Rhinolophus ferrumequinum: one gene and its partner. The protein of the gene in region 2 interacts with the protein of the main gene of each other region in a pairwise test. Links are inferred from orthologs where the notes say so. Each region holds a gene or a part of one and is shown on either strand. Other genes may lie near its edges. The genes, in order: CDC73 and TSGA10.

Region 1 (12,712 bases), on a different chromosome or scaffold from region 2:
GGTGGACTTCTGACCTACCAAAACTATGAGATAATAAATTCTATTGTTTTAAGCCTTAAAAAAAAAAAAAAAAAAGAGCGAGGGCAATTTAAAATTGACTCACATGCTTCGCCATTGAGATATCCAAGTAGATCTTTTCGGTCAGGTCTTCTAACCACAGGAATATTTTCTGTCTGAAATAAAAATTTTAAATTAGATACCAAATCAAAAACAATTATAGACAATTGGTAAAGATAAAAATCATGTAATGTCTGAATTTTAGTCCAACATATCTTCATAACATTATTTAGAACTGTATTTTTAGGAAATTACTAGGTTAAAAGAACCTAATAAAAATCTTTAAAAGTACTAAGCATGTTAATTTTTGGTAACAGAAATGAAACAATGACCCTTTCCCTCTTCAAAATGTCAATTTGAGTCTGTTTTGTTCCCTTCGCTTACTCTACGTACTTAGTTTTTAATTTTACTCATGATGGTTTGCGTTATTTAGGGCAAGTATCTTTTTAGTCTCATTGCTTGCTAATTTTATGCAATGTTTCCAAAGTGCTTTCTTTTATCACATCTAAACCAGACTTCCTCAAAATATACTTGCACTCTTTCAAATAAACCAGCTTAGCCACTAAAACTAAATTTTTATAATTAATACTAGGTATGTGGGAAATTTTAGATTATACAGGGAAATGTTAATGGTGGTTGTATACTTTCTACATTGCATATTTCTTTTTTATCCTCAAGTGTGTATACATTCTGTAAGATTAAAGAATTAAATCTGGAGAAATGTATATACTTTGGTAAAACAGGTAATTTTCCTTTAAGTTCCTACATGAGCAATTTGTAGAGGTGAGCAAAACAAATAGAACGGTATACTTTAGGCAAAAAGTTATCTCTGGGCTATGAATGCAATGAATCCTGCAATTACAATTGTCCGTATCATTTTTATAATGCAAACAAAAAACAGAGTACAGGAAAAACTAGTGGCTGCAGGATGACATAGTGCAAATCCTTTCAGGCAGTCTCCATAAGCCAACAGTGAAGTAAGCAGAACCCTTAGCACCCTAGCTGATGACTTTATGTTGACGACTTGATTTCACTGCACCAAACATTCTGCATGCAGTCCTCCATCGTAGAGATACACTGTATTTAATCACTTAAGATTAATGTATGTTTTCAAAAGAGTACGCTAAACTTTCATTGCTGCTTACAAATACAGACATTTAAGGGCCCACAGGTTTTTCTGTGATCTCGCCTACAAGGAATATCATAAACAGTTAAAAAAGATTTGGATGAATTTTCCTTACACTACTGTTTTTAAGTCTGAGAACACACTTCAGGGTTTGGTCACTAGTGAATGATACACACGTTACAGGCAACTTGAAAAGATGGGAGTCCACTCAACGGAACTAGGAGCTACAACTCAGGCAAACCGATTTCAGAAATGGTCTGTTCCAAGGGGCGAGAAGGTAACACAGAGTGAGGAGAATAAAACTGTAGAACCTAGAATTTTAGAATCCTGCCCTTTCAATCTTTCAAGCAGTTAAGAAAAACGAAGCGTTAAATGCTGTGTGACCTGGGTCCTCAGGGCCACAGTAACGACCAGTGCTAGTTTGTGCTACACCCATCCCCAAGAAGAGACTCTCTAAATCTCAATCAAGTGTCGGGACCACCCATATTACCCCAAAAGGAATGCATACAACCAGCAAAACATTCTAATTACTGCCTAATACAGTTTTTAAGATCTGAGTTAACATGGCTTTACAGAGATGCTGCTGTGTTATCCCACTAGTTCCCTAGATTCCAAGTCGTTTCACCTTACGCATTATTTCTTTCAATACATATCTGACGCTAAACATGTATTTCCTGTTCACAAAAGCAGTGTTCAAACACTGAGGTGCAGAAAGCAGGCAAAACTGAAAACAGATGAATTTATCAATAAAATCTGAAAAAAGTTTATTGCTTAAAAATTAATTTTAAAAAGTTGTTAATCTTGATTCTTTCTGATGTCAAAAAACTTTTGAGATTAAACTAAAGTTCTGAATTTTAGGGTCCTTGCACAGACTCATAAATTATTTAAAACATCCCTATAAACGTCTTTAAAACTTCTGTCGTTGTAAACATTACCCACATTTTACATGCAAAATAATCCGCATAAACCACAATAATCTAATCACAACCCTCCAGGAAACTTTCATACAAATCTTTCATGCTTTTCATCGGAAATCCATGAGGGACATCATCCATGTCAAATGCTACCTACCATCAATTAAATCAATAAAGTTTTAAAATAAATTCTACTTACGGCTGCACGTCGGACATAAACAGGATGAGAAAGATGCACATTATTAAGTAAAAATAAAATAGAATCCAATGTGTAGTACTCTCTGGGCTGGCCTTCTTTTCCAGTCCTGAAAGAATCATGGCAAGAGTTTTACTCACAATTCTATTTCAACTCGTAGGGCTTACTTATGTGTCTTAATTTACCTACACCCACTTTGCTATCCAACAATAGAATGGAATTAAGATGGCTAACAAAAATACAAAGTATGAAATCTAGAAAGTGGAATCGTCGTTAGGTTAGGTAGGGCAAAAGGAACACAAAGGTAGACAATGGCAAAAAGCAAGAAGGAAAGCACACACATTCCTACTCTAAGACATTATATATACTTTTTAATATTTGGCCCAAATTAGGTTCTGGACTTTGTCAATAGAGAAACCTAATCGGTAACACACTAGAGAGGATTCATAGAAAAATAGACTGAAAAGAAGAAAAGAAGCACAACTGTTACTGGTGCTAAACTTACAAGAAATTTATCCTATGTCTACGTCTCCTAAGTAATGAACACAACAATTAATTTCTGAGGTATAAGTCTTAATCACATGCTTCAAATTAAACCAATGACCCAAAACCAAAATGAATTCTACCTGCGATAAAACAACGTAGTCTAGGGGTGCAAGATACTTACCACAGGAACGTACTACTACTTGCTCAACAAACATTAGTGTCCAACCCCACCCCTCCTACAACCTTCTCCCCGTCTAGAAATGTCCAAGCATTTGAATTCACTTGAACATGGCCCAGTGTAATCAGCCCCAAACCTCATTGTCCAGCCTCTATTTCCACTTGTCCTCTAAATCTATGTATTTCAAACCACACACCACTGTCAATTATTGCACTATGAAATCTAAAATATGGGTAACAACCAGGGGTTTTTTATGATATAGAAAAGCAAAATAACAAACAGAATGTACTGTATGCGATAAAGTATTGTTCAATGTCATGAACGTGTACAGATTTACATACGCACCCAAACATTAATAATGAAAGAAGACATATTTATTGGTGTGATTCACTGCTGTAAAAGTTTGAAATCTACTGTTCTAAGCACTCCTTTTTCACTAAATTGCTCTCAAAACATTTCCTTTCCAGCATGCGTGCCTTTTAATACAGTTCTCTTGTCTTTAAAGACCTAATCCACCATTTCACCTCAGAATTCCTACCCATTCTTTAAAGCTTATTTACCTGTTCATTCATTTATGCAAGAAAAATCGGTCGCATGTCTACATGCCAAATATACGTCCATGAAAACTTTCCCGATACCCCAAGCTAGAAGGGGTATTGGGGGTCTTGTCCTAAGACCTAGAGCAGGTTTCATCTCCTCTTTTCTGATTAGCTGACCCTCCTTTGAGGCAGGGACCAGCGTCCTAAGAAGTTTCCATTTCTCAGGTTGGACTGCCCAACACCCTGAGTACTCCTGAACCACTGAAGGAAAAAAAAAATACACAGTTAAAACTCCAGTTTAAAAGTGTAATCCAGTCTGCAAATCCTTCTGAATGGACAAAACAGGAAAATCGGAATGATGTCATTTTTAACATTCCATAAAGCTAATTAAATCCCAAGCCCTCAAGCCAGAAAAACAAAAAACAAAGAACAACCAACCACCTGAATTTCCCCTAGTTTTTCTTCAACCCTTCATAAAGCGCACTACTTCCATGCAATCAAACAAAAAGAGTATGGACGTTCTGGCCCAAGGTCCTATGTATCCCCACAAAACACCACCAATGAGAGACCCATCACTAAAAAGGCCCAAACGATGATCAGACCTCTGGCTCGATGTTTTCTTAATGACTTAAATTCAGGGCACCGCACGTGGATCAAGGTCCCCAAACATTTCTCTTGAAAACACATTTCCCCAAATCACAGACCCCATCCATTTCTAACTCAGACCTGCAAACCTCACTCTATCTCCCCAGCGGCTTCGTCCCTGAGGAAACTCCTGCCTTCACTTCCAACGTATTTGGATCACTCGTCCAAAGGGACCAAACCTCTTTCCCGTCCTAACTCCACAGAGTTGGTGCCCTTCTATCTTCTCGAGGGAATCGCAAAAGGAGAAGAAACAGACCAGGAGCTGCAAGGGTCAGCGGAGCTAGTTAGCAACACAGGGCAGCCTTGGCCAGAGAAAGAGACAAAACAAAAAACAAAACAAAACAAACAACAAAAAAAACCCTCAAGAACAAAAAGACACGTCTCCGGGGACGGACGGGACGCTCCTCCTTCACGCACCTATACGCGGTGCTAGCCCTCCGTCCACATCGCGACAAACGAACCGGGCGACTCACAAACTGCCCCAGGACCTTTCCCTTCAGCTCCCCCAAGACTTCATGGGATGGACCACTCCAGACGCAGCTCCCACCTCTCCCTCCTCACCTACAAGTGTAACTTCCACTCCAGAGAGAAACTTTTCCCCGAGCCCCCGTTTTCCCCATCCCCGAAGGGACCGGGGGGAGGGGCCGGGAAAGAGGTCGCCTGGGGGCGCCCGACTCTGCCCGGCCACAGCCCTGCCGGACTCACCCCCAAACTACATAGTTGGTCTTCACATTCTTGGGCCAGGAGAACTCGCCGAAGATCACTTCGTCTCCCTTCACCACAATCTCCTTCTTCTGGATGTTGTACTGTCGCAGGACACTGAGCACGTCCGCCATCTTCACCCCCCTCTCCGCCGCCGGCCCCGGACGCCGCCGCCGCCGCCGCCGCGCCTGCCTCCTTCTTCCCCTGTCGCCTGGTTCTCCTCCTCCTCCGCTGCCGCCGTCGCCGCCGCCGCGAACCAACTGCAGCCGCACTCGCAGCCGTCCTCGCCTACGCCAGCAGCAGGGGCAGTAGCCACCCAGGCCGCCGAGGACCCCGCGCTAGGAAGCAAGGCCCCACCGCAGGCTGCCCGCGGAGATCGCCTGACTGCGTGCCTCCCGCGCTGCGCGGCCGCCGCCAGGGGGCGTCGCCACCGCCCAGGAAAACGCCCCTCCCAGACTCCCAGCCGGCCCGGGCCCGACTCCCGGCCCGCACCTCGGAGCGCAGGGACGCGGCCACCACGTACGACGCACGTACGGGAAACATCGCCGGGCGCAGGCGCGCGGAGCAAGTGCTTCATCCCCCGCCCCGCCGCCCCTCCCACCGCTGCCTGGGGCTCCGCGAGCGACAGGTGCGCGCGCACCTGCGTAGAGGTTCCGCGCTTCCTTTCCTGGAGCGCGCGCGGAGGGACCCGTCGCCCGTTTTGAGTGCGGCCGAAAGCTCGCCGTCCCTGCTTTGGGGATGGAACTTGGCAAAAGGTTTGCAGGACGCTAGGATTACCTTCCCACCTAGGTCGAACCAGGCCTAGCGAATGGCCTCTGGAAGAGCGAGGTTTCGGGTTGTTTTTGGTGTGAGGCTGATTAGCATCTTGGAAAAGACCGAGTCCAGCGGAGAGCAATCCCGGACTTGGTCAAGCTATGTACCTTCTCACAGCATCAATTGGGTCTTGGAGAACATGGAGTTCGTATGAGAATTAGGTGAAAGGGTCCAGCAAATCATCAAAATGTCATAAATGTGGGCCCTTCCCCTTCAATTCCTTACATGGTGACTTTTTCCGTCCTGCGTCCTGTTTCTCCCCCACAGGCACCAAAGGGCTACATTTAAATGGTTCTGTTCCAATATGCCAATAGGAAATTTAGAGAACTCGAACCCCAAACTGTCTGAATCAGAACACTTTTGGATTACTTTTTTTTTTTTTTTTTGGCATCCATAAGGCTCCAGGGTATCCTTGCTGTCCTGGAAACAGTGCTATAAATTCAATATACAACAGGTGTAATGCAGGGACCCTGGTCCCGCTCCCTGCACGAGAACGCAGGACATGGTGAGGCCAAAATGGAACACCAATGGAGCCATAGAGAGGGGAGTCATCCCACTATATTCTTGCTGGCGGCTGGGTTGGAGACACAGGAAGCAGGAGCCACACGATCTGCAACCTGCCGTCCGCTTCTCTGCCAACCAGCCCACCCGCTTGCCAGCGTAGCCATGGCAGTTATATCGGTGGCTAATGGCTAACTGGTTACAGCCAATGGCCAACCAGTCACAGCTGATGACCATCTACTACCCGAGCCACCACCTTTCCACGCGAGGCTGAGAGCCTGGAAACTGCTCTCTGGGACTCTGTCCCCACAGCAGGTCCTCAACTTTTTTTTTCAACGTTGTTTTCTTACAATGTTGATGAGAGGAAAAATAAAAAATTGGAGTCCAATCAGGCCATTGTGATATTTGCAGCTCATCCCCATGTCTGCATGAGTTTTCCCCAGGGAATCTGTCGACTCTTGTTTCCTCCCATGTCCCAAAGGTATGCTGGTGGAGTTCACTGATGAGTATACACTGTACCAGTGTGAGTGTGGGTAGATGCAAGTATGGGCCCTCTGACAGAAGACTGCCCTACCCACCGGGTCCTCAGAGTTAGCTGCAGGGATGGCTTCCACCACACACGCCCTGAACTGATATCAAGGAGTGGGGAAATGTTTGCCATACTTTTGTTCATGTTTCTTAACACAGGTATATCTCACATTTGTTACTCAGACTGGGGCAATGAAGACAAGCCAGCTATACTCTCCTGCATGTCTTTGGGCTGTGGGAGGAAGTACACACTCCGCCCGGACAGTGGCCCTCACCGAAATACATTTTTTTTCTCATCAACGTTATAACCAAAAGGCCCTGAAGGAAACGATGTCATTTGAGGACCTGCTGTATTATGGGTAGTTTCCTAAGGAGGTAATCAGAGATGGGGTTATCCTTCTATTTGGTAAGGGAATGAGAGTGACTGGGTTTAATGTTGTGGTAATGGACAGTAGTGTGCAAGGGAAATAACCGTATTTTATAGGAGGTTAGGCGGCCAGCTGAGAAGTGTGGAGTCTTTCTTGTCAATAAAAACCTCTGCGTGGTTTGGGGAACAATTAGTTTCAGCGGAGACTCTAGAACAGTCAGTGGAAGCTTTCAAATGTTTTGCCACTGTTTGTTACAGCTCTTAGATGAGATGGGTGCACTTTGGCTATTGGATCTAATGAAAGACTTAACTAAGTAATAAACCTCTGAAGAATCAGTACATGTCTTCAGACCTTTCATGAACAAAAACAAAACAGGATTTTTGAATCTAGAATCCTGGAAACAAAATATTTTGATAGACTGGCTTCTTTTTAACTTGAAAAGTATACTACAATCATTGAAAGATTTATATTAACACATTTTGTTTATGTATAATTTACCTGTCTTTTTGCATTGTTAGTTTTTTCCTACATCTTGTAAATAATGATTTCTCATAATAATTTTTTTAAAATTTGAGGAATTATGAAAAAAATCTAATTATGTTTCTTGACCTTTCATGTGTAAAGGAGCAATTCTTTTTTTCCTCAATGGCCATTTTGGGAGAGCTGATGAGCATTTAGGCATTATTCTGAATCTGGGTCCTAAACTGAGAAAAAACAAAATTAAGAGTAGTTGTTAGAGTAAACGAATATTAAGTTATAAGTATCCAAAGACAAGAAATATTTTTAGGCAATACTGTAAAAGCATAGCGAGATACAGCAATGGTATTAGAAAATAAATCTTTTCAAAAGTAGGAAGGAATTTTTTCAAAGTCATTTAAGAATATGTTAGCACTGACAATTACCAAATATTTTGGTGACATAAAGGAACCTCTACTAATTTGGGCACATAATAATTGAATTCTTCTACAGAAAACAAGACTCAAATTCTAATTTTACTCTTTTGTACATTATTCACATAACTACCTACTATATAAAATTTATGAGTATACCTTTATATGCATGTGTATTTAGGCATGAATGAATACATAAATATACAAATAATATATTTAAAGTATTTAAACTATAGCCTTAACATATACACATTAAATAAAACAATGTAGATATCATATTAAATTTAACATCTTCATAAATAATAACAACTCTTAATAAACAGAAAATTATATCGATTGTCTTCCATACAATCTTGTATTTCTCTGTAATTATTGTCACCTAATATAGTCAACCAGTCATATAAATAATCATATTAACCAAGTAACCATCTTCTTCTCCAAACAAAAGAGAATATCAGAAGACAGAAAACTATAATTGCTTAGCGATTTTGTTCTATTAATGTGCGTTTTATATTATTTTAACAATTTTGAGGTTGTAAAAATAAGCACACATATAAGGTTTGATTAAAAAATACAGTGAATGCTGCTGCCGAGTGCCATTCAACAGAAAGGCAGGGATCTCCAATAAGGGAAGCGGTGCGTGGAACCTTAGTAACAGTGTGTGACAAGTTTCAACTTGTTCGGTGCAGTCAATCAGGTGTGAGCTACGGTTGAGAGAAGGTGTGTTTTAAAGTGTGCTATAAATCATGGATCACAAACAATGTATTAACATGAAGTGGACAAACGGTTTCATCCTCCATTATGACAACGCTCCATGTCACACATTGCTGTTGGCACGGCAATTTCTGTCAAAAACATTACAGTGTGTCCTCATCCACCTTATTCACCAGATCTGGCACTATGTGACTTCTGGCTCTTCCCCAGAGTCAAAATGACCAAGAAAGGTAAACTTTTTGAATCGATTCAGGACATCGAGGCAGCCACGACTGCCAGAGGACTTCTAGCACAGCTTGAGAAAGTGGCAAGAATGATGGCATAAGTGTGTTCGAAGCAAGAGGGAGTGTTTTGAAGGGGATTAATGGCAATGTGTCTTTTACTTTAATCATTTTTTTATGTAAACATTCACCATGTTTTTGATCATACCTCATATATATATATGTGTATATATATATATATATATATCATATAACCAAGAGACATTTGTATATTTTGTTAATCCATTGCCATTGTAATAAATAACAAATTATATTTAGTAACCAATGTGGTTTTCTTATCTGCTTTTTACTTAGAAATTGTCCAAGCATCAAAAGATTAGTTATTTGTTAACTTATTCGTTTGCCTAGTCTTAAAGTTAATTAAGGATCGGTAATTTACAATTTTAGCAAGCACATTAAATTGTTATTTGTAGCACTGTAAGAATTTCAGAAAGTTGTCCCTTCAAAAAGATATCTGTTGGGCCGGCCCGGTGGCTCAGGCGGTTAGAGCTCCATGCTCCTATTGTTGGTTGGAGCACATCCTCTCAACCACAAAGGTTGCCAGTTCAATTCCTCGACTCCCGCAAGGGATGGTAGGCAGCGCCCCCTGCAACTAAAATTGAACAGGGCATCTTGAGCTGAATTGCCGCTGAGCTCCTGGATGGCTCAGTTGGTTGGAGCGTGTCCTCTCAACCACAAGGTTGCTGGTTCGACTCCGGAAAGGGATGGTGGGCTTCACCCCTTGCATCTAGCAATGGCAACTGGACCTGGAGCTGAGCTGCACCTTCTACAACTAAGACTGAAAAGACAACTTGAAGCTGAATGGCACCCTCCACAACTAAGATTGAAAGGACAACAACTTGACTTCGAAAAAAGGCCTGTTCCCCTTCCCCAATAAAATCTTTAAAAAAAAGTGAGTGACTGTGTGAAGGGTGCAGCCATTTAAAAAAAAAAAGATATCTGTTATTACCATTTCATTTTGTTGAATACAATTCATATATTTTACTTATAGATATATATATATCATGTTATACAAACAATGATAATTTATTTAATTCAAAAACCAAACATAGGAAATTTTGGAAGTACAAATCATGAGAAACTAAACACTAGTTTAGTTATGTACAAAATATTATGTTGACATTGTTTTTACATGGTAAATTAAAATTTACAAACTCTGAATCATGCCCAAAGTTCTTCTTTTCTTGTATTGTGCCTATGTGACCAGGGCTATTCAGTAAGTATAATTTTCAGAGTTCACAAAATAAACACTAAGTTTGACAACTGTCTTTTAGAATGAGCACCTAACTGAATGTTTTTGTTTGTTTGATCCATTGGTTAATGTTTAGATTTTTTAAGAGAGAGAAAATGAAAAGCAGGCAGCTTCAGACAAATATGAAATGACCACTGTAAAAGGATAATTATATTTTCTATGTGAAGAGAGAAGAGAAAATTTAGACATAGAAATACCCATTTTAAACATGTACACAGACAAAAGAGTATTATTATAGCTGATTTAAAGAATAACTCGGACCCTTGACAAGTTTATCTAGTAATACAATTAAAAAGCAGCCCTTATCAATCTTCAAAGTACGAACATGAAAGAGGGGGTGTCTCCTACCTTAAATTTAAAAAATTATCTTTCCTTTACACTAACAAGACAATTTCATCATATGACTTTCTTTTTTGTTGTTGTTCTAAAGCACCTCCTAAATGACTGATCTTGTTCTTCTCAAAAGTAACCAAAGTGGCTTGTGTAGTTCCAAATTGTCTCTCGTATAATTCTGCCAGTTAGAGAGTTCAGCGTACCAGTTAAAATAGTTTTTGATCAAGAAGCCCCTGTGAAAACTGCAGTGTTCCCTAAAGATGCTACTGTGTTTCCCCAAAAATAAGACCGGGTCTTATATTAATGTTTGCATCAAAAGACGTATTAGGGCTTATGTTCAGGGGATGTCATCCTGAAAAATCACGCTAGGGCTTATTTTCCAGTTAGGTCTTATTTTAGAGGAAATACACAATACTTGTGAAACCTCATGTCTCCGGAAGTTAGCCAAAAGCTAATCATCCCCAAACATGGGTGGGACAAGCTTCCTGCTTTTAAAGCAGATAAAATTAAACAGAGCAGGAACACAAAGACAAGACTAAGGAGGGAGTCTTTGTATCATTTGTAAATGGAAACGAGGCAAAGTTGGTTCACAGACAATGGTCTGAGGAGACCTGTGGCGCCAGCTCAAGGATAGACTTATAGGGCCTCTGCCTCTCCTCTTCCGATGGACTTTTCCTCTCATAGACAACCTCACAGCAGACAGGAGAAAAAGACAACCACAGGAGAAAAAGTCAGAAGGCTAGAAAACAGTTTCGCTAAGGAATAATACAAATCTGGTCAGATCGCAGTACGTTCTCAGGAGACTTTTTCCCAGGGAAGAAAATAAAACCCAGTGTAAAGTACTTCAACACAATGTCGGAGCTCAATTCAGCCTAAATTTACCTCCTCACTCCAGGTATGGTGGCCTTGGCCAGGAGACACAAGAGATTTCCGATGTCCAAACCAGAGGGTCAAGGGGCCCAGTCTGTGGCGGTGAGGGTCTCAGCTGAATCTTTAATGAAAATTTCATTTTTGTCAATGACCTTCAAGCATAGACCACCAGGAACACACTGTAGAGAGGGGCGTACCAATAATCACATCATAAAGAGTTAGAGATTCAGGGGAATACGACCACCATTGTCCCTTTTTTTTGAAATGCCACTGAAATTTCTCAGTATGCAATAGATAATTTACTAAATTATGAACATGAATTTACTTACACTCACTATATGCCTCTATAAAATTTTGCAAGACACATGTTTCACTGTGGACGAAAAAGGGACCCCATACTAAACCTGACAAGCTCAGGGGAGGCCTGCCAACAGGTCCTGCAAACTCAAGAGACCGAAATTAACCACACAGGATGGTCTGAACATAAAAATTCCCAACTAAACTCAGGTCATGGCAGGTAGTCACATCCTTGGCCTGCAGGTTCCTTAACAAAGGTATATCTTTACCTTAAGTGAGCCTATTGTCTCTTTGCATCTAAGATAACATACCCTTGGAATGTCAGAGTAATCCCTTTTTCCAGACCCCTCCAGTCATAACCTGCCAGAGCAGGAGACCACAGAACCCTCATTGTTATCTCGTTCCCTGAATACCATCTCTAAGTGCCCTAAATGTTTACCCACCAATGTAAAAAGGTACCCACTCGTGTAAAAGAAGTGTCTCTCCATTTTGCTTTTTACCCAATCCCAGAGATTTCCCCACTTTGCTTTCTCCCACCCCCTTAATCTACCACCAATGGATTTCATGTAACCCTCCTTATGTCTCCTCCTTTGATTCTAATGTATAAAATAAGCTGCAAAACAGCCATTTTCCAGAGCATTTTCTTTTTCTTTTCTTTTTTTAAGGTTTTATTGGGGAAGGGGAACAGGACTTTATTGGGGAACAGTGTGTACTTCCAGGATTTTTTCCAAGTCAAGTTGTTGTCCTTTCAATTTTAGTTGTGGAGGGTGCCGTTCAGCTTCAAGTTGTTGTCTTTTCAGTCTTAGTTGTGGAGGGCGCAGGTCAGCTCCAGGTCCAGTTGCCCATTTTTTTTAGTTGCAGGGGCCGGAGCCCACCATCCCTTGCAGGAGTTGAGGAATTGAACTGGCAACCTGTGGTTGAGAGCCCACTGGCCCATGTGAGAATCGAACCGGCAGCCTTCGTCGTTAGGAGCATGGAGCTCCAACTGCCTGAGTCACCGAGCGGGCCCCTCCAGAGCATTT
Region 2 (12,465 bases):
ATCCACATTTGTGATTGAATAGCAGTGTTTAATCTTTCACAGAACAGTCCTGGGCCTACTGTAGAATCCTAAACACAGTAATTACTCAAATGTTCTCAATATAACAGTTAGAAAAATAGTATAGATTTGCCTTTGTAGGAATCAAATACAATTTAGCTAAATTTTTAAAAGATCTCTGACGATATTCTAAAATGTACGTAAGTATATCTGTTTCTTGGATTTGGAACTTGTACTTTTCTTCTCATCAAATAAATGTCTAATACTACCTTCAAATGACTAAAATTGAATTTATTTTATTCTTTGGTTTCTCCTCTTTATTTAAAAAGGAAACACTCCTGTCAAAAATGCATAACTTGAATCTAATCATGAATAAGTAACCAGATGAACACAAATTGAGAGACATTATATAAAACAAATAGTGAAAGAAAACGAGAAGCTGAAGAATTGTTCCAGATTCAAGGAGACTAAAGAGATGATTTGATTTCCAAATGCAATGAATGATCCTGAATTTGGGTGAGGAGGGGGAGGATGGGTAGGAAATATACTAAACTGTCCTTTTTAGTACATTTGTCTTGGACAATAGGAAAATTTGAATATGATGGTTTATTAGATAATAATACCACATCAATGTTAAATGTCCTGAATGTGATACCGTATTTTGCTGTGCATAATGCACACTTTTTTGTCCAGATTTGTGAGGGAAAAGTAGGGGTGTGCATTATAGGTGGGTAGTACTAATTCTGTATCTATATAAATGTTTTTAATTATTTATGCTTATGAGTTAAAAGTATAACTCAGAAATCAATAATGATATCCATATGTAAAATAATACCCTGGAATACGATAATCAGTTTCGTTGAACTTATGATGAATGTGCAACGAAAGTAATTTCAGCCAGTGCTTCAACAAAATGAAACAAAGAGCAAGGTATTCTTATCCACCGAGTAAGTGACTCTGACTTGATAAGATAGGTGATGCCAACTTTATTACCACAGGGTGAACAGCGCAACATTTCTCTTCATATACTTGAGGCGGGAGCTAGCAATCTAGCTGATATTTTTACAAAAATTATTGAAAAATTAAAACAAAAGATTTTTTTCCCCTGAAAGTTTGGGCCCAAAACTTGGGTGTGCATTATACACGGGAACACATTATACACGGCAAAATATAGTAAATTTATTGTGGTTATATAAGTGAATGTCCTTGTTCTTTAGGAAATACGTGCTGAAATAGGGGTAAAGGATCATATCTACAACTTGCCTTCAAATTATTTACCAATAGAGAAAGTGAGAATTGGAAAAAAAAGATGTCCAATAAAGATCAGCAAATGTTAAAATGTTGAATCTAGATGGGAAAGTATAAAAAAAATTGTTCAGTGTTTATTCTTGTTAAATTTCTGTGTGTTTAAAACTTTCTCAAAATACAAAGTTGAAAAAAAGTTAAAAATACTAACAAAACACTATAAAACAACATACTTCATTTAAAATCAACAAAGGTAAAATAATGGTAACATATATAATTAGCAACTAGCACATTAAACTTCAGTCTAATAGAGGGACTGGGGAAGAACCAAATGCAATTGGCCCTAGGAATCTCACCTTAACTTGCCTGGGATCTTGAGGACATGATGGGAGAACAAGTGTACTTGGGGACTCTTTGGAAACCCAGCATGTGGACAGTTATTTAAGAAGAAATCGTAAATGCATAAGGAAGAATAAAGTTCCATAGAGCTAAATAAGTTTGGACACACATACACACACACAAAGAGAGACTTGCCTTATAAGATACTAAGATATGCTACAGAGTCAAAATAATAAAAACAGTCTAGTCCAGGTGTAGGAACAAATAAATGACCAATAGAACATGACAGAGCTCCAACTTGAACCTATATTTGTGCAGGAGCTTTACATATATAGTAAAGGTGGCACCATACAGCAAAGGGGGATAGATCCGCTAGCACCGTGAACACTGGCTCACGATGTGGATGAAAATAAACCAGGATCCCTCTGCTATACAAAAGGGGACTCCAAGTGCAGTAAATACCTAAATGTGAATGGTAGAAATATGAAATGTAGGCCAATGTATTTGTCACCGTGGGGTAGAGAAGGATTTCTTAAACAAGAACTGAGAGGCTTAATAAGGAAGAAAACTGATGGATCTGACTACTCACAATTAGGAATTAATCTTCAATAAAGAAACTATAAACAAAGTAAAAAAGATGGGGAAGAGACTGGAAGAAGATGTGCTGTCCAAAGCCGACAAGGGATTTACAGCGAGAATATAAAAAGAATAAACATCAACAAGGAAACCCAATAGAAAAATGGGCAAAGGATGTAAAGACATACTTCACAGATTGGGGAATCTCTAATAGGTAGTGAGTACATAAAGAGACGTTCAAACTTACTAGGAATCAGAGAAATTCGAGTTCACTACCATGAGAATGGCTGGCATTAAAAAGGTGGATAACACTGAGTGTTGAGAATGCAGGGTGACAGGAAACCTTGTGCATTGCTACTGAAGTAATTTTTAACTCCTATTTCATATTCTACATCCAACCCTTCAGTGAATCCCGTTTCTGTTTCCACCCTTGCCCCCCTGCCCCATTGTATGGTTTTTCAAACTGTATCTGGAATGAGCTTTTAAAATATAAGCCAGATCCCATCAATGCTCTGCTGAACACGTTCTAGTTACTCCCTATCTCAGAATAAAAGCCAAATTCTCTACATATCAAATCTCCAGCTGTAGGTAGAATAATGGCCCCCAAAGATGTCTAAGGTTGCAAGTGGCATTCAAGTTGCCAATCAACAGTCCTTGTGGTGGGGAGATCATCCTGGACTAACCAGTGGTTGCCAGTCTTTATCAGTGAAAGAGACTCTCAAGAGTCTTTATCAGTGAAAGAGAGGCAGGGATGTCACTGTTGCAATGCAGGAAGGACTTCACAGGCCACTGCTGGCTATGAAGACAGAAGGGGACCACAAGCCAAAACAAAGCAGGCAGCCTCTAGAAGCTGGAAAGGCAAGAAAACAGATTCTCTCCTGGCGCCTCCACAAGGAATGCAGCCCTGCTGACAACTTGATTTTAGCCCAGTGAAATGCATTTTGAATATCTAACCTCCAAAACTGTAAAATGATACATTTGTGTTGCTTAAAGCCACCAATTTTGTGGCAAACTGTTACAGCAGCAATAGGAAACTGATACACCAGCTAACATACTGTCATCTCAAACTCCTCTCCTGTTCCTCACTCACTCTGCGTCAGCCCCATAACCTCACTGCTGTCCCTCAAGCACAGTGCCCTGAGCCTGAGGCAGATTTTGAATTGCAAACCACTTCTGTTGGGGATGGTTGGTGACGGGCAGAGACTATGAGGAACCGACTTCTGGTTCCAGCCGTGATACAGAAACAGGGATCAGATTTATCCTCTTGCCTGAAACATCTTAAAAAATAGATAAAACACGTGAAACCATGGTTTTAAGATATTGGACAATAGGCAGTGCAGGAGCGTAATCCCAAAGAGAAGGGAAATAAACAAGGTGAGCCCTAGGCGAGCTGACTGCCTAGAAATTTCAGGCTTTAGTACAAGGAGGGGGAACCCAAATTAAGCTTGGTTATGTCAAGTTGTTGAGAAGACAGAATCCAGAGTTTGCGGAGGCCAAGTTGGCTAGAATTTATGGAGAGAGGTGCAGCGAGAGAAAGAGCTCCAGAGATCTGCAGAGGATTCCCCACAATTTTTTGGCTGTGCGTAAGGAAATTTTGAGGCCTAGGAAAGAACCAGCCAAAAGGAGAAGGCAGACACAGGGCCAAGAATAAAGTTCCCACCAGCCAGAGTGGAAAGGAATCCTAATACATGGGGCATCGAATATAGTCCGCAGAAAGGTACCGGCTCAGCAATGGGGCCAAATTAGCCTGAGATAAAGACTAGTTTGACCTAACAAAGCTTGAAAGCAAGCTTCTAAAGCAGCGCGGTCCAACAGAACTTTCTGCAATGACGGAAATATTCTACATCTATTGTCCAACGGAATAGCCACTAGGCACGTGTACATTTGAAATTACACAGTAAAATGAGGAACTAAATTTTAAATTATATTTAGTTTTATTAACAAATTCAAGTAGCCGCCTGTAGCCAGTGGTTACTATTTTGGACAGGGCAGCTCTAAAGGATCAAACTGTTTCCAAGTAAACATACTGCATCTCAGAACAAAGCCTAAATATATTTAGGCACCCAACAATGTGAAATCTGCAATGTCTGGCAGCCAATAAAAACTTACCAGGCATGAAAACAAGCAGAAAAATATGACCCATAGCCAGGAGAAAACAAATCAGTAAATAGAAATGACACAGGTGATAGAATTAGGATGCAAGGAACTTAACAGCTCTTTTAATATATATTCCATATTTCCAAGAAGGTAGAACAGAGCATGAGCATGCTGAGGTGTGATGGAAGATCTTTTTAAAAAATCAAACTTCCAGAAATGAAAAATACAATTCTGACATGAAAAATATTGTGGATGGGATTAACACTGCCAAAGGAAAGAATAGTGAACTTGAAGATAATATCAATAGAAACTATCCAATTTAAAAAAAACAAACAAACAGAGCATCAGTTAGCTGTAAGGTAATATCAAGCATGTTAACACATATATAACTGGAGTCCCAGATTTTTTTTTTTTGGAGGGGACCAGGAAGGTACAGGAAAAAAAAAAAAGGCAAAATAGAGATTTGCATAGTGAAACTTGTGAAATGATGGAGAAACTAAGGGAATAAAAAATGCAGGTTTTAGAACCGCACAGGAGTGTGTCACAAGGGAGAGAGCAGAGGTACTATGAAAAGGGTCATTTGGGGCAGGATGGAGCACCCACCACACTTCGGGTTTTCATAGAGGGAAGAAAAATTTCACTTTCTTGGTCTGGGGAGGAAGTCTTTGAAAGGAAAATCATCATGTCCTGGTTTGGTCTTAAAGTGATCTTTTCCCTACATTCTTTCCAAAGAATCTTCAGTAACATCTAGGTGGCATACATAAATGCTTAAACTTTTCTCATTTTTCCCCTAAGGGATGTACTTTCCTACCTCTTATATTAATAATCCATTCCTCTCCCCAAGTCTTCAATTCCAACTGAGTTTTGAAGTTCATACATTTTTCCCTATTTCTTTTCAATAATGCTGGATAATGAGAACCTGTTATTCAAAATAATCTTAGTATCTAAAGAGGAAACGAGATTATACATTGTTCTCTCTAAAATAACTTTTCAGGATGGTCTTTGAGAGCTCATGCTTCTTTGTAACTTATTCTCAGAGGAAATATATCTCTTGGGATCTCTGACTTCTTTATCTAAAATAGTGACACTCAATTTAATTTTTTAGTATCTAGCTATATTTACAAAGTATATGATATCTGAAAATAAATGCTACAAAATAAGAAAATGTAATGGCACACAATGATAAAAAATCAGAGCAGAAAGTGTTTGAAAAACAGCACTTATATTTAAATATACTTCTATGAAGAAATTGGTTCTAACATAAAATTTGTTTATGCCTGCCAATAATATATTGTGGGAATAAATGAGTACTCACCTGGCAAAAACAGGAATTGTTAGTCTTCCAATGTGAGTTTACTTTTGAAATGCACAGGCAAATACTAAATCAAGATAATCAGAGCAGCTATAAAAACCTAGTTATCTATTTCATCTGTGGAAAAGACAAGGAGATAAAGCCACCATTTAAGTCCAGAAGCCCTTGGGTTGTTTAAAAAAGATGGGTCACCCACAGCCCCAAAACACAATATTTCTTAAGCTGGGATCCAAAAATTTGGCAGAATGATGCAGTTCACATTCTTTTTCACTAAAAACTGATTTCTCCACTTACAGGTAATGTGGTTAATTTTAACATAGTTGGGTGGCCAAAAATATTACACCTGGGTAAGTTAAAGGAGCGTTCTCTGAGAGAAGACAAGTTTAAATGGTATTAAATAGGAAAACAATCGATACAATAGTAAATGTCAAGTGAAGCAATACACACCGTGTTTCCCCGAAAATAAGACTGGGTCTTATATTAATTTTTGCTCTAAAAGACATATTAGGGCTTATGTTCAGGGGATATCCTGAAACATGCTATGGCTTATTTTCTGGTTAGGTCTTATTTTTGGGGAAACATGGTATACCCCTTACGTTTTATTTTTTGTTAACCATCACCAGTTTTTGAGGAAAGGGACTGGCATCTGGAGATGGAATATCGGACAGGAATCTGCGCTTTCATTGCTAGTTCTGCCACTTTTCGATTCAACCCTTACTGGCCCGTGCAGGGCTGACCCGGCCGAGGGGTCGCAGGCTCCCCAGAATGCAGGCCGCCGGTGCTCACCGAACAGGCCGGCTCTCTCCCTGGACGTGCAGCGGCAAGACCCAACTTGGGAGGCTCCCCGAAACCCGGCCCCTGGCTGGGGCAGCAGAGCGCACCAACCTCCCAGCGCCCAAGAGCTGCTCTGGGGAGTAACAGGTTCAATGAACGTGGGTCCAGAACGGTGCCGATCCCAAGGAAAAGTGGCACAAAGCAGCGGCAACCAAGCAGCAGGTAATCCCAAGCTGAGAGGGCGGCTGGAGGGCACACGGCCCTGCGCATGCGCGTTCCATCCAGGTGCGGCAACCTGCAGCGGGAATAAGAAGTCTTGAAAAAAAGAGTAGCGGCTGGTTACTAGGAGACGGGGACGCTCGGGTGGGACGTGTAGTCGCTGCGTGGGCGTACGCCTGCGCGGCGCGGATGCACCAGGAAGACGTCTTTCCTAGGCGTCTTGTAAGGCGGGCAGGTGTCGAGACGTGTGTGGGTGCGCGCCCACAGCTTGTAGTCCCCGCTAGAGGGCCAGGTACGCGTGCGCACAGGGACTGAGGGCGCGCGGGACGGAAGCGGAGCGAAGGCGCCGGGGAGGTGGAGGACAAGCCCCCCTCAGGTACAGAGCGTGAGGGCGGGGCCCAGTGCGGCGCCGGCCTCCCGTAACCGCCCCCGCCTCCTTCTCGCCGGGTCCCGCCTTCCTCCGCCTCCACTGGGGTGGGGCCAGGTCGATTTGCGGGTGGGGAAGGAGGGGAAAAGGGCGGAGGATGGACTCTGGGAGGGACCTGGATCCCTGGCGGAGGCCCAGGCCTGGCAGTCGCTGGGATGAGCTCCGGGGAGGACTCCGGGCCGAGAAACCCGGGCAAGGACCCGGACCTACAGGTAGAAGCTGCGGGAATGCGCCGGGTTGGGGTAAAGCAGCTCCTGGGCCGAAGACGGCGGCTGCAAGAGGGCAGGTGTGGCGGGGGTTGGGGGCTGTGGGTGACCCCCGAGGTAGGCATTCACGGCTTGAGCCGCTGTGAGGGAAAGTAACGGGCAGAGTTGCGGTCCCGGGAAGCCCTCCTGGAGCAAACTTTGCTCCTGTTGCGGTTTCTTAGGACATTAGCGTGGAGCCCAGTTCCTATGGTGACCGCTTCGCTTCGGGCCGCAGCTCTCCGCTTGGTTGTTGGGGGGACTGTTCTGTTTAGAAACGCTCTGGAGTGGAGCTCCAGTTAGAGATTTAGGAGTTGAACCTGGCTCATCCTGACTCCCAACCTCTCACTTCTAAGCCTCTTTATAGACTTTGGGAGGTGAAGGGCCGAAATTACCTAGGCATTTGCATGAAAATCTCATAGAATTTCGGTAGAAATTATAATAGGAAAAGCAGTGTAAACTGGCTTTTGTTTGAAAAAAAATAGGAGACTTAGATTGAGTAACTGGCGATCATGGCCCTGATACCTAAATACGCGTAGAAATGCACATTTTTCTTTAAAATGCTTTTCTTTTTTCAAGGATCGCTGTTTCAGGAAAAGTTCGCATAGATGACTGTCTCAGAATCTTCCTTCTTAAATTCCATGCTCTTATATCTTAGGATAGTCATTGTTTTAAATGTCCTCTATTGGCATTTCAGCTACACTTTTAGTTTGTTTACCTGTGAGGAAATAGAATAACAATTGGCTTTTAAGTAGAAGAAAATAGGTTAGTTATAAGTATACAAGGAAAGTGTCACATAATTGAAATCTGCCTCCAGGATAAAACATTTTTTATTGTATTTTAATTGATCGATGAACTAAACGATTCAGTTTTAATTAGTGGGACATAATTAGGAAGGCACATTAATGAAATATTTATTTTAAACAATAAACTTTGGCATTAGTTAAGGGCAGCTTCCAAAATATATCTTATTTTGTTTACCTTCTGAAAAAAATCACTACTTATACCCCAGCATAAAATCATTTGTAGAGATTCTCTGGGCTCTCTTTCTGTTTTCTTTTTCAGTTGCTTAGTTCAGTTTGTTTTAGGATAATTTGCTTTTAAAGTGCTCCATATACAGAGGCAGTTAGAGCAAGCATTACTGTTCGTTCTCTTTTTCCATCACATCCCTCCTTTTCCCCAGATGTAGCCACTGTCCTCACTTTTGTGATTGCCACTTCCTTGTTTTCCTGTATAGTTTGTGCATCTTTGTATGTGAATGTGCACATTGAAGTTTGGCTTGTTTTTGAGCTTTACATAAATGGAATTTTTCTAAGTATTCCTTTGCATTTTGCTTCTTTACTCAACATTGTGTTTTTAAGATTTATTCGTGTTGTTGCTTGTAGTTTGTTGTTTAGTTTTCTATTGTAAGAGTGTTGGTACCACAATTTGTCTACTCTTCGTTTGCTGAACATTAAGGATTTTACAGTTTTTGGTTAATGTGAACACCACTGCTGTGAACTTTCTTATACGTGTACTCCATGATAATCGTTTGAAGTGAGCTGGTTATTAAGTAGTTCTATGTCTTAGTTATGCTAACAACAGCAGTCTATATATTAGTAAATTCTTTTACTTCAGAAAAGCCTCTTGAAAACAACTATTTAACCACTTCTTATGTTTCCAGAAGGTCTTGATGAATGGTACCTCTCCTAAGGCCATTGTTTTATGCTGTTTTAAAAAGACAAGTTATTTCTTTACAGTATAATCTGGATTGAAGAGAAGTGAGAAGCTTGAGTTTGGATGAAATGACTAGAGAGCATTATTTTTCATAACAAAGGTTAAACATTGTGGCTTTACTATTTTGTTTGAAGTGAATTCCCAAAACATTTATTGACTTATTTTTATTATAAATACAAAACCCTGTCTCAAAATTATTCATAAAACTTTGTGTGGTTTTCTACACCTTTCTGTTAGTAAGGCTATTCCTTCCTATTTCAGTGTCTGTTAGTCTAAACTTCCAGAGACAATTTTATAAAAAGAAAACAAGTTGACCTTTTGTGGAACCAGAATTTAGAATCCCATATAAAATACTCCAGTGTTTTCAATTATTCTATCAAAATATTCAGTAAACATTTGTTGAGCACATATTTTATACCTGATATTTTACTCAGCATTGATGATACTTTTTAGCACATGATTGTACCTCCTTTTTTACTAAAAATTAAGATTCTTACCAGGCAGGAACTTTTTCATATTTTTACCCCTTCTTATCTAAATCTTCATCTGACCTTGTTTTTTCTGTTATTGGAGGACAGTGCACACCCTTTACCTGGGTTTCTTCTTAGCTCAGTGGTCATTCTGCATTAGTTAACGTTAACCTATGTCTTAGAATCTTCATTGTGTTTATACTGTAGGGCTTCTTAACCTGGCATACAAGAGCTTTAGGGAGCTCTTGAACCCCCTGAAATTGTAAAGTTTTGTATGTGTTTGCATTTTCCTGAGGATAGGACCAGGGCTTTTGTTTAATTCTGAAAGGGGTCCTTGATGTAAAGAGAATTAAGAAACATGTTTTTTGGGGTGGCCAGATGGCTCAGTTGGTTAGAGCGCCCACTCTCAACAATGTTGCTGGTTCAGTTCCTGCATGGGATGGTGGGTTGCGTCCTTCCCTTCCGCCCCCTACCCCCGGCCCCCCCCCCACACGAACTAAAGATTGAAAACAGCAACTGGACCTGGAGCTGAGCTGCGCCCTCCACAACTAGATCGAAGGACAACGACTTGGAGCTGATGGATCCTGGAGAAACACACTGTTCCCCAATAAAAAAATTAAAACAAGAAAGAAACAAGTTTTTCTCCTCTTGTAATGACCCTTTGACAACCCTGCTCTTCTTCCAACTTTCACTCTACGTTTATTTTTCTCACAATTGTGCTTCCTAAAAGAAGTCTAATTTTCTACTTCCTTCTTTACTACTCATTCATTTATCAGTCCTCTTCAGACTTGCTCCTACCCCATCCTTACGATTAAAATTACTTTGTTCCAGTCATCAAAATTCATTATTTTAAAAATGTTTCCTTGAGTACCAACTTTGTGTTGGGCACTTTTCTAGGCATTAGGGATATAAGTGACCATACAAAAGCCTAGATCTCTTGGAGCTTACATTCTAGTAGGGGGAGACAGACATAAAAAAGTGAAGGAATAAATGATATAATTTCAAATAGCATTAGTGAAAAAAATAACCTACTGAGAGAATGAGTCGGAGAGAGGCTACTTTAGGTCAGGGAAGCCCGCTGACAGATCAGCCAAATAGCTGGGGGTAAGATGGAGCCAGCCATGCAAAGAGCTGGGGGAGAGAATGTTCCTGACACAGGGAAGGCAAGGGCAGAGGCCTCAAAGAGGAATGAGACTGGCACATAGAGGAACAGGAGGAAAACCCATAAGGCTGGTGGGTGAACAAAGAAGAGTACTAAGTCTTTTTAGGGACAGGAAGGCAGTGACCAAATCACCAAGGATCTTAAAACGTTTGGGTTTTATTTTAATTGCAGTGGGAAGCCATTGGAGTGTTTTTGGGCAAGATCTCACTGTTTAATGATTGCTTTGATTTCAGTTTGGAGAATAGGTTGTAGGGAGCTACTGTAGAAGCAGAAAGACCAGTTAGGAAACGGTGGCGGTCATCCCTGTGGGAGACAATGGTGATTTGGACTACTGAGGTGGTAATAAAAATGTAGAGAAGTGGATGGATTGGGGTATATTTTGGAGTTAGAACCAACAAGACGTGTTGATGGATTTGATGGAGGTCAGGGAAAGAGGAAACAGACAACTCCTGGGTTTTTGACCTCGGGCACTGCTCGATGGTGGTGCCACTTGACATGGAAAAACTGGGAAGGAACGGAGGGGAGGCAGGGCTGAGAGCAGGCATGCAGGGTTTTTAAGACATGTTAAAGTTGCAATGGCTGTGGACAGCCAGTAAACGCAATATGATGTGTTACGTGCTTCGATTGGGGTGTGTTCATAGTTTTTTTTGGAACATGGAAAATGTATTCTAAGTATTTGGGGGAGAAAGAGAAGTCAGACAGGCTTTTTTGTAGTCCTTTTCTCTGTATCCCCTTAGCATCGTGTGCATTCCGCTGATGGGGCCCTGTTCATGCTGTGCTGTAATTTCTGACTTACTTGTTCTGGATGTTCCTAGATTCAGGGAGTGTTGCAACTGTAGGTATTTGTTTTTCATCTTTCTATCCCAGAATCTAATATTGGTTCATCTTCATTGTAGCTATTTATAAATTTGTTTGGTAAATGAATAAATGTGACTGTGACAGTCTCAAGGTATGAACTGAAATAATGATAGTAGGGATGGAAGTAATGTATTTCAGAGAGATTTTAGCGAAAAGATCAGTAGGACTTGATGGCCATTTAGGTCAGTTGAGTCAGTGAGAAGAATTAATAATAATAGTAATTGTGAATAATAATACATATAGCATTTATTTTTGCTAGGCACTATTCTGAGTGCTTTACGTACATTAACTCATTTAATCCTCAGAACAACTCTATGAGCAAGTACTGTTACCATCCCTGTTTGATAGATGAGGAAGCCATAGCCAGAGGAGTAACGTGCCCATGCCATGCAGCTGAGAAGCGGCAGAACGAGTGTGATGGACATAAGCAGTGTGATGCTGAAAAACATGCCCTTAACCCCTATGCCCTGGTGCTTCCCAGCGACAGTGACTGTGATTCTAGCTTGGGTGTCTATGACGACAGCTTGCTGCTTGCACTGTACTTTTTCTTGCTTTCTCTGTGATCTGTACAGGAACAGAAGTTCCATCCTTAGTTCCATTTAGAGATTGTGGGAAGATGGAGGATATTCAGGTGACAGGCCAGGCAAGGGCATTTCAGGTACTCTGATTTCTCTCCCTTCTTATTGCCTCCAAAGCTAAAGCACTTAAAGTAGCAAGTCTAATATGATTGCTTACAATTGTCACATTGACTGTTGGTCTCTTCCGACTTTTAATTTCTAGACTAGCCTGGTAGGTAATTTTTTTATTTTTAATTTAATTTTTAATTAAGTGAAGAAGAAAAAGCAGGGAATCAAGAGGAGAATTGGAACTGTTTCACAGTTAATCCCAGACATCTGTGCCTTGGTCTACATCGTGCTCTGTGATTCTGCTGCAAAGCTTATAGACTTCCGTGTACTTGAAGTGGCAGTAGACATTGGGCTGACTGCCGTATTATTCATAACCTCTGCTGTGAGAGTGTAAGGAGGAAATTT

Evidence for each region.
Region 1: the proteins of TSGA10 (region 2) and CDC73 interact in binary tests that used the Homo sapiens proteins (3 or more experiments, as listed by UniProt). The two-hybrid records come from large-scale screens. The link is inferred for Rhinolophus ferrumequinum from reciprocal best matches to the Homo sapiens genes TSGA10 and CDC73.

What each region holds. Positions count from the first base shown.
Region 1 is NC_046310.1:4,966,940-4,979,651, forward strand, and holds the start of CDC73 (parafibromin), read right to left. Parts: upstream 5,226-12,712; 5' UTR 4,978-5,225; coding exon 4,847-4,977; intron 2,403-4,846; coding exon 2,297-2,402; intron 174-2,296; coding exon 104-173; intron 1-103.
Region 2 is NC_046296.1:4,998,554-5,011,018, forward strand, and holds the start of TSGA10 (testis-specific gene 10 protein), read left to right. Parts: upstream 1-7,076; 5' UTR 7,077-7,141; coding exon 7,142-7,198; intron 7,199-12,465. UniProt on the Homo sapiens protein: Plays a role in spermatogenesis. When overexpressed, prevents nuclear localization of HIF1A.